2 linked regions of the Mus musculus genome follow. The protein of the gene in region 1 binds, or shares a complex with, the protein of each later gene. Links are inferred from orthologs where the notes say so. Each region holds a gene or a part of one and is shown on either strand. Other genes may lie near its edges.

What was found.
Region 2: the proteins of Ntrk2 (region 1) and Ntf5 are in contact, whole or in part, in a crystal structure (PDB 1HCF), measured with the Homo sapiens proteins. The link is inferred for Mus musculus from reciprocal best matches to the Homo sapiens genes NTRK2 and NTF4. Residues at the interface, in NP_001018074.1 of Homo sapiens: Phe291, Glu293, Thr296, Ser297, Asp298, His299, Cys302, Pro304, Thr306, His335, Val336, His343, Gly344, Cys345, Asn350, Thr352, His353, Met379, Gly380, Trp381, Pro382, Gly383; in NP_001382418.1 of Homo sapiens: Gly81, Val82, Ser83, Glu84, Thr85, Ala86, Ser89, Arg90, Arg91, Gly92, Glu93, Leu94, Ala95, Asp98, Ala99, Ser101, Gly102, Trp103, Thr105, Tyr135, Phe137.

The regions. Positions count from the first base shown.
Region 1 is NC_000079.6:58,806,224-58,810,535, reverse strand, and holds the start of Ntrk2 (BDNF/NT-3 growth factors receptor isoform a precursor), read right to left. Parts: upstream 2,840-4,312; 5' UTR 2,523-2,839; intron 2,152-2,522; 5' UTR 1,808-2,151; coding exon 1,596-1,807; intron 1-1,595. UniProt on the Homo sapiens protein: Receptor tyrosine kinase involved in the development and the maturation of the central and the peripheral nervous systems through regulation of neuron survival, proliferation, migration, differentiation, and synapse formation and plasticity.
Region 2 is NC_000073.6:45,412,500-45,416,544, forward strand, and holds the start of Ntf5 (neurotrophin-4 preproprotein), read left to right. Parts: upstream 1-1,195; 5' UTR 1,196-1,289; intron 1,290-1,363; exon of another isoform or gene 1,364-1,816; intron 1,817-1,826; exon of another isoform or gene 1,827-1,984; intron 1,985-2,004; exon of another isoform or gene 2,005-2,094; intron 2,095-2,231; 5' UTR 2,232-2,355; intron 2,356-2,935; 5' UTR 2,936-2,946; coding exon 2,947-3,576; 3' UTR 3,577-4,045. UniProt on the Homo sapiens protein: Target-derived survival factor for peripheral sensory sympathetic neurons. May promote ameloblast differentiation and subsequent reduction in proliferation of ameloblasts.

The DNA of each region.
Region 1 (4,312 bases):
ACCAAGCGCTGCGTCTCATTTCTCTCTTCATTCGGTGTCTATCGTTGGATTTTTAAAAAGGCTGTGTCAATGCACCTTCCAGGTCTCCAGCCACCGAAAGGCTCTGAGTTGCTTCCACAAGGCCCCTCCATCTGACTGACATTACCTTCGGAAAGGCATGAGTTCTGAGAAAGGCCACAGACTCTTTGGATAAGCCCAGCCCAGGACAGGCACATACCTACCCTAACCTCCCACTGTGCTGCTGCGCTACTTGTCAAAGACTGGGAACCTAGCACCCTGGTCTCCACTGTTCACAGCCGGATTGGCTCAGCTATGCCAGGCCTGCACGCTCCACCTTGCTCTGCCATTCTTTCCTCACACCGGAGGCCTGTAGTGTAACCATCAGTAGCAGAACGGCAAGATTAGAAGGGGCTCCTACTTACATTTAAAAACCAAAACAGGTTATCTTGACTCCTTTGGCACTGGCAGCTGCATTGGCAGAAAACACCCTTGTACATTGGGGGAGGGGGTGCATGCGCACTCGCCAACCGGAAGGCCACAGCCCAAGCCCTACTTACAAGGCTGCCTTTCTCAGTCTCAATCACCCAGGAAACTTAGCTTTATAATCCTCTACACAGATGAACAAAACCTTCTGTTCGTGAGACATAAAATGGCAAGATTGCAGAGAAGGGACAACAGCAGTGTGCCCAACACAGGTGACCTAGAGAAAGGACGGTTGAGTTCCTGCTTGGCAGGGTATTCGTCACAAGACACCCAACAGAGAGAAAAGAAACACATTTCTGTTTCTCCACTAAGCTGGGACAAGCTGTAACCTTTCTAGGGACAAGGCTGAAGCTACCATCCGTCAGTGTGCACATAGCTTGCTGTTTAGCCTAGTCCTGGGGAATTTTTCAATGGGCAATTAAGATTTATAATCCAAATGGTCTCAAAATCGTATCTCTGAGAAATCAGGTCCAAATTAAATCAGCCCAGGCTTTTAGCCCTTCCTGTGATCGCATTTTCTCTCTTGAGCGAGTGCTTTTCGACACTCAGAACTTCTCCTCTTACAGGGCATCCTCAAAGCATCTCTGGCTGCAATCTCTGAAGCAAAATCCAATAGATGAGATGGAAAAGGGGGAACAGGACCAGTCAACTCCAAGCCTCGGGAAAAGATGTTAAGGGAGAGACCCTCACTTCCTCCAACCAATTCTTGAAAATGAATAATTTTAACCTCCTTTCTGGTTAATATCACTGGAACTTCTCTCAACACACACACACACAGTATATTTTACCAAACAAAAATGTTCCAATATAATTATCGTATACTGAAAGCCTAAAACACACCCATCAGAACTTTGAAATGAAAATGCACGCAGAATTCCTTCCCAGGAACATAATATATACGAATTTATGATTATATTTCTGTCTATATGGAATTTTAGAGTCCCACTCTTCACCAACTGACATCCGTAAGCCAGTGAAACAGACAGAGAAGTGACAGGTACCCCATCTCTCTGGTCTCTGACTTCTTGCCATGTGTGGGACAGCATCTGTCCCAAACATACACCTGCCTGATTCCTGAGGTGGGGACAGGAGAAAAAGTAAAAGGAACTCACATTTCCGTGATGTTCTCCGGGTCAACGCTGTTAGGTTCCAACCTCGGGAATGCCACGATGCCTGGAGAAGGCTCAGTACACCAAATCCTAGCGGAACTGCATTTGCAGGACGTCGGGCAGGCGAGAGAGGCCCTCCAGAAGCCCAAGACCAGCAGGCATAAGCCCCAGAGCCGCGCCATGGCGGGTCCATGCCACTTCAGCCAGGGCGACATCCCGAGCTGCCAGTGCCAGTCAGTCGGAGTGCGTGTCCCTACGCTGAGCCAGGCGTCCCCCGCCGGAGGGGGGAGGCCTTCCCTGCGCCCTCTTGCTGCTTGGTGCTGGTGGCCTCCCGCGGAGTGGAGCGTACCAGAGGCTGAGCCTGTCGGTGCTGGGGCTGAGCAGGTTGGCGCTGACCAAATGGTTCACAGTGGCTGGGACATCGCGGGCCGCTGCTCCGAGCCACAAGGCGGCTGCATAGTCCTATACGCCAGGCACCACTCGGTGGATCTCCCTGGACTCTTTGGGTCGCAGAACCGCTAAACCGGCACGAATATCGATATCGGTGCGCACCTCAGGGCTGAGGACAAACAGACATGGATGAGACTAATAGACCCCACACACCACCAACTGGGACACAGTCCCTCCGCGCTCTCCTCACCCTGAACCCCAAGCCTGGAGAATGAATGTCTGAGTGCCCAGCTCCCGCCCCGCCATCAACTTGCCCCTTAGTGCCCCCCCCCCGTGTGCCCGCCCTCCCTTCAAGCCTGAGGCCGAGGCATGAGAAGTCGGTAACGGGTCTTTGAGAGCAGATTCCATGGCATAGGCCAAGCCAAGGACCCTCCAAAGAGGCTGCGGCAGCGCTGGGGCCCCAATGATGCTGCAGAATCCTCCCCGGCCGCTGGGCGCGGGGGGAGAGGGGAGGTGGGCAGGTGGCGCGGCACATCCCACCTGGGGAGCAACTGCGGTAGCAGGACAGTGCCGGCCCAGGCCACCGAGGACTGTCCGCGCGGCTTCCCCGGCCTCCCGTAGCAAGCGCAGGGAGCAGAGCGCTGCAGAAGCAGCAACAGCAGCTGAAGCAGCGACTGGGCTCTAACCGGCGGCCGCCGCCGCCGCCGCCTCTGCTACTGCTGGCGAAGTGACGTGAGGGCTGACGCAGAGCAGGGGCAGAAACTCCAGAAAATTAGTATGAAATCCAAAAACACACACGCTCACACACGCGCGCGCGCACACACACGCACACACGCATAGCATAGCACCCTCCAGACAAAAGCAAGGCGGAGGGGAGGGAATCTGGGGGCGAGCGGGGAGGAGGAGGCTTGGTGCCAGCGGCCAGGCGCAGACAGCAGCATGTGGGAGTTCACACTCGCGCGCACGCACACACCTTGGCGGGGTAGCTGTGCGGGTGTGCATGTGTGCGCGTGTGCGTGTGTGTGCCCCCTTTAGACCCCGGTACATCTAAAATGCAGCGATGCTTCCTTGGTCCCTAATTCTTACATCTCTTCCACATCGCAGTACAGACTAGCTCCCCCTTTTTTAAATGGAAGCCCTGTTTGGTTAGGCTCTGAAAAAAATGCTCTGATTCGTATTGTAGGAATCCTCCCTTTTCCTTTTCCTTTCCCTCTCCCTCCCCGCCGCGTTCTTCTTTCTCACCATGCTCATAGGGGAAAGCAAGCTATTTCCAAAATATAGGGAAGACAAGCTACACCCCGTACAAAAATAAATATATAGCGCTGTACGTTAGTAACCAAGGACCATTGCCGGGTTCCGGACTACCTATTTAGGGGTGGATGGTTCCAAAGCTCTCCTGATGGGGTTTCTGCCAAGAGAGAAGTGTAGACAGCCTGCAGACACAAGTGTAGCTCTGATGGATCTTTCTCCTGCCGTTTGCGCCACAGAGAGAGCCCTGCGTGGGAAGGGAGCGCGCCGGCCGCGCTGTGGGTTCCCTAAATGCTTTGCACCGACCCTGGCCTGTGGAATGGATGGCTCCGCATCATCTTCTCTTATTCCTTAACCTGGCAGGATGCAGCCATTTGAGGATCACAGCTTCACTCCCCGCGACACCCACCCGCACGCGGAGCACCCAAGCCCCTGTCCCCTGCCCTGCCGTACCTTGCGCGTGTTCGTGTGCGCGCGTGCATGTGCGCCAACGTGTACCCTGCACCCGCGCTGCCCGAGGCAGGATGTGCTTCCAGCTACCGAGAGGCCGGGCTCCGGCAGCGCCCTAGAGTCTCAGTGGGGACACGTGAGATGATTCCGGAGGGTCGAGTGACAAACGTGCGGGTGCAGTTAAATGGTCGCTGCGGGCCATTCGCGAGCCTGATCTGAGCCTCCTCTCACCATTTGTAGCTGCGACCGCCCGCACATCCGCAGTCATTTAAAAGGGAATCTGGTAGATGCGCCGCAGTGCCTGACACTTTCGAGGGCTCTGGTGCCCCCGCGTGGGGAGAAGAAACCCAGCACGCTCCGGTACCTCGGGCCATTGCTACCACCGCATTAGGAACTGCGCTACCGGCGCACTGCAGCTCCAGATGCGCAACCGCCGCGCTGTGTGCACATTGCTACCCAGGCAGTGCGCCTCTCACCAGATCCCTACAATCTCCTGCCTCTGAAGTCCTCCACGCACCACAAGACAATGCGCTGGAGTCCAATTTAAGACATAAGAATAGTCATCCAACTGCCCGCAAAAGGCCAGAAATGAGAAGGATGATGTCAGGGGAAATGTTTGGGTCTTCGCACAG
Region 2 (4,045 bases), on another chromosome or scaffold:
ACCTCCAGGAAACAACCTGAGTGGGGTCTGAGTCACCCCAGCTGGGATGGCACCTTGAGGGGAACACCCTAATCCGGGGACACCCTTCCTGCCACTTTGCCATGCTATATTTAGGTTGGGGGGATGGGTGCTGGGTGACCCCCCCCCAAGGCAAGTGTCAGCTTTCCTCCTAAATATAGCTCAGGGTTAGGGGAACTAGAGTCCCAGAGTGGGGGCATGGCAGAGTCAAGGGCCCTGCCACCCAAGGAGCCTGTCTGCTGCAGAGACACCCTGCTTGAGGTCTCTCCAGCATCCTGCCTTTCTTTCTGAGGGGGTGATTTCCTCCCTCTAGGGCCCTGTTTCTCTGGGTGGGTTTTTAAAAATTATTTTATTTTATTTCATTTTATTTTATTTTTTATTTAATATATACCAGTACACTGTAGCTGTCTGCAGACACTCCAGAAGAGGGCATCAGATCCTATTACAGATGGCTGTGAGCCACCATGTGGTTGCTGGGAATTGAACTCAGAACCTCTGGAAGAGCAGTCAGTTCAGTGCTCTTAACCGCTGAGCCATCTCTCCAGCCCTCTGGGTGGGTTTTTGTCCCCGTGTCTTATGGTCACAGTTTGCTGTTTCGCTGGGCAGGTCACAGTTCTGAAAGCCCATCATGGTCTCCTCACTCTAATTACCTTGAAGTGTTCTTATCCACTCCAACCAAGTCTTCCTGGTCCCCGGCCAAGAAATTCCAGGATAGAAGACTATGTGGGGGAGCCCGGACAGTCACTGTCTCCAGGCATTGAGCCTTATCACTGCACAAGCCCAGCTGGCTAATGTCTGGCTGGGAGACCCAGGAAGGGAGACAGGAGCGGAGGGTGGGAACCTGCTCTAGACACCATAGCAATTCCCCGGTCTGAAGGGAAGGGCTGAGGTTCTGAATACTGGGTCTAAGGGAGGAGGACTGGGGTCTGGACCCGAGTCTAAAGGAGGAGGGCTGGCGCCTGGACCCCTGGGTCTGAGAGAGGAGGGGCGGAGTGTGGACCCCAGTGTCTGATGGAGGAGGGTTACAGCCTAGACTTCTGGAGCTGAAGTGGTCGAGGCCGAGCTTCCAAGGTGCCGGCCCGCGCGTGCTAGGCGGGATCCGCCGCCCCTCCTCCGCCGTCGGGCGCCGCCCCGCCTCCTCCCAGACCCAGGCCCTCCCAAGCGCAAACGGCGAGCAGCCGGCGAGCAGCGGGCGTCCGAGCTGCCAGCGAGCCGGAGGAGGAGCCGCAGCGGCGCCAGGGGCAGCCGGGGAGCAGAGAAGGGCGCCCCAGGTAAGAGCTCCTCGCCTCCTCTGGCAGACTACACGGTCCGGGTCGCCCGGCCCCCGGGTAGGGAGGGACGGGGGCGGGGCCGACAGGGGCGGGGTTTGGCGGAGGAAACTGAGGCAGGACGGAAGTCTCCCAGAGGTGGAGCGGGTCCCCTCCACCTAACTCAGGAATAGGGATCCCCAGCCCCATTTTCCTGGATGTGTGAAGCAGGGAATCTCCATTTATGAACACCTTGGAGGAGGGGCCGCAACCCTAGAACCTGTGGGTCTGAGGGAGGAGGCGTCTGGAGTCCAAGAAACTTAGTTTGCAGGAGGAGGCATCTGGGGAACCAGGTCACCTGAGGGAGGATGGTTCAGGGGCCTTGGGCCCCTGGGTCTGAGGAAGGAGGCAGCTGTGGACCTGAACAAAGTCTGAGGGAGGAGGCAGCGGGCACCCGCACTCCCTGTAATGGTGTGGTAAACTTCTGCCCCTGATCACACTCAACACTTCCCATTCCCCCACCTCGGAGCCTGGCCAGCCAGACACTCCAGGTATGCGCAGTCGGAGTCTTGGGCGGGCCCTGGCCTGTCCTGCGAGGAGCGAACATTCCAGGAAGCAGCCTCAGGGACCCAGAGCGTGGGCCGGCGGGGACCCGGGTGTCCAGGCCAGCCCCACCTCCGCCGCGTTTAGTGGAGGACTGGAGGACGGGAGGAGGGGATGTAATCTCTTCCAGTTGCCTCACCTGCCCCTCCTCTCTGCTCCCCCCCCCCCATCTGCTTCTCATCCCTCCAAAGCTGTCACCTGCACAGGGAAGGGGGGCCCTCTGGAGGTGGGCGGGGCATCTACTCCAGGGTACCCTAGGCTTTCAAAGACTCTGGAAAGGGTGGCTTTTTTTTTTTTTTTTTTTTTTGAGAGGTCGCGCCCTTCCCCCATCTGCCTATGTAACTGGTTTCCTTCCTCCCGCAGGTGGTTGCCCCCTCCCTCTCCTGAGATGTCAGGGAGGAGACTACCTGTATCCTACAAAGGGGCCCCACACAGCCTGGGGGCCCCCAGTCCCAGAGTGAGGAGGTGGAGGTGCTGCTGTTGACAGGTCTGGTATTCATTCACCTGCTGCTTTCCAGTCCTGGCCCGGCTTCTAGAATGTTCTAGTCTCTCCATATCCCTCCCAGCATCTCCCAGCAGCCAAGTCAGTCTCACACTCAGGGAAAAACGAGAACGACAGGATCCGAGGGGCTCCTCCAGGTTATAGGAACACGAGGGCCAAGTGGCACTGCACGGATTTCAGATCTTACCCATGCCACTTCTTGGCTGTGTGACCCGGTAGAAAGCATTTCTCCTTGGGTTTGACCGTCCAGCCCTGGCTGGCGTGGAACTCGTGCAAACCGGACAGGCCTCCAACTTGTGGCCATCTTCCTGCCTCTGCCTCCTGGTTGCCGAGGTTACAGGTGTGCATCACCACACCCAGTTTTGCCTTTTTGTTTAGACTAACTGGATACTTATTATTAACCTAAAAGTTAAACAATCCCCAGGTTCTAGAGCATAAGGTATTCCTAAGGTCCTCCCATAGTCTGCCACGCAACATCTGCCCTCGGGTGGGGCAGGAGGAGGGGTCCCTGACTTCCGTTACTCAGGTGTCTTTCTTCTCTAACCACAGCCCTCTTTCTCTTCAGGTGTGCAAGCCATGCTCCCTCGCCACTCCTGTTCTCTCCTCCTTTTCCTCTTCCTCCTCCCCAGCGTCCCCATGGAGCCCCACCCCCCATCCTCCACCCTGCCCCCATTTCTGGCCCCTGAGTGGGACCTCTTGTCTCCCCGAGTGGCCCTGTCAAGGGGCGCCCCTGCCGGGCCCCCTCTCCTCTTCCTGCTGGAGGCCGGGGCCTATGGAGAGCCGGCAGGGGCCCCAGCCAACCGCAGCCGGCGCGGGGTGAGTGAGACCGCACCCGCAAGCCGCCGGGGTGAGCTGGCAGTATGCGACGCAGTGAGTGGCTGGGTGACCGACCGGCGGACAGCTGTGGACTTGCGTGGGCGCGAGGTGGAGGTGCTGGGCGAGGTGCCTGCGGCAGGTGGCAGTCCCCTGCGTCAGTACTTCTTCGAGACGCGCTGCAAGGCCGAAAGCGCTGGGGAAGGTGGCCCAGGTGTGGGCGGAGGGGGTTGTCGCGGCGTGGATCGGAGGCACTGGCTCTCAGAATGCAAGGCTAAGCAGTCCTATGTGCGGGCGTTGACTGCAGACTCCCAGGGCCGCGTAGGCTGGCGCTGGATTCGGATCGACACAGCTTGCGTCTGCACGCTCCTCAGCCGAACAGGCCGAGCCTGAGGTCCAGGCTTGGGAACTGCCCAAGTTGAGGGAAAACAAAAAACAAAAAACCAAAGCTGGATGCTGAAAGGACCACAGGGGTGGCCTGGCTGCTCTACCGTGCCTTATGACTGGGAACTGGAATAACCAAAGAATCAAATCTCTCTCAAATCTCAGTCTGTGTGGAATGTATGGTGAAACCAAATGAGGTTTCAAGTGATGAATAGGAGTTCTCCCGGAGGAACTTGACATTAATAACAATAGCCAATGTTTACTATCTCCTGTTTATCAGACCTGATATATGACTTTGGCAACCATTTTAACATCAGAGGACCCTGGCTCATCAAAACGGACGAGGAAAGAACGCATGAAAAGGGGATGCATGATGCATGCGCTGGAGCTAGGCCTCCATCAGTAGGCTGTTTCTGGTTGCCTGGCACGCACACAGTCCTGGGCTCCATCCTGAACATCATAAACCATGCACGGTGGT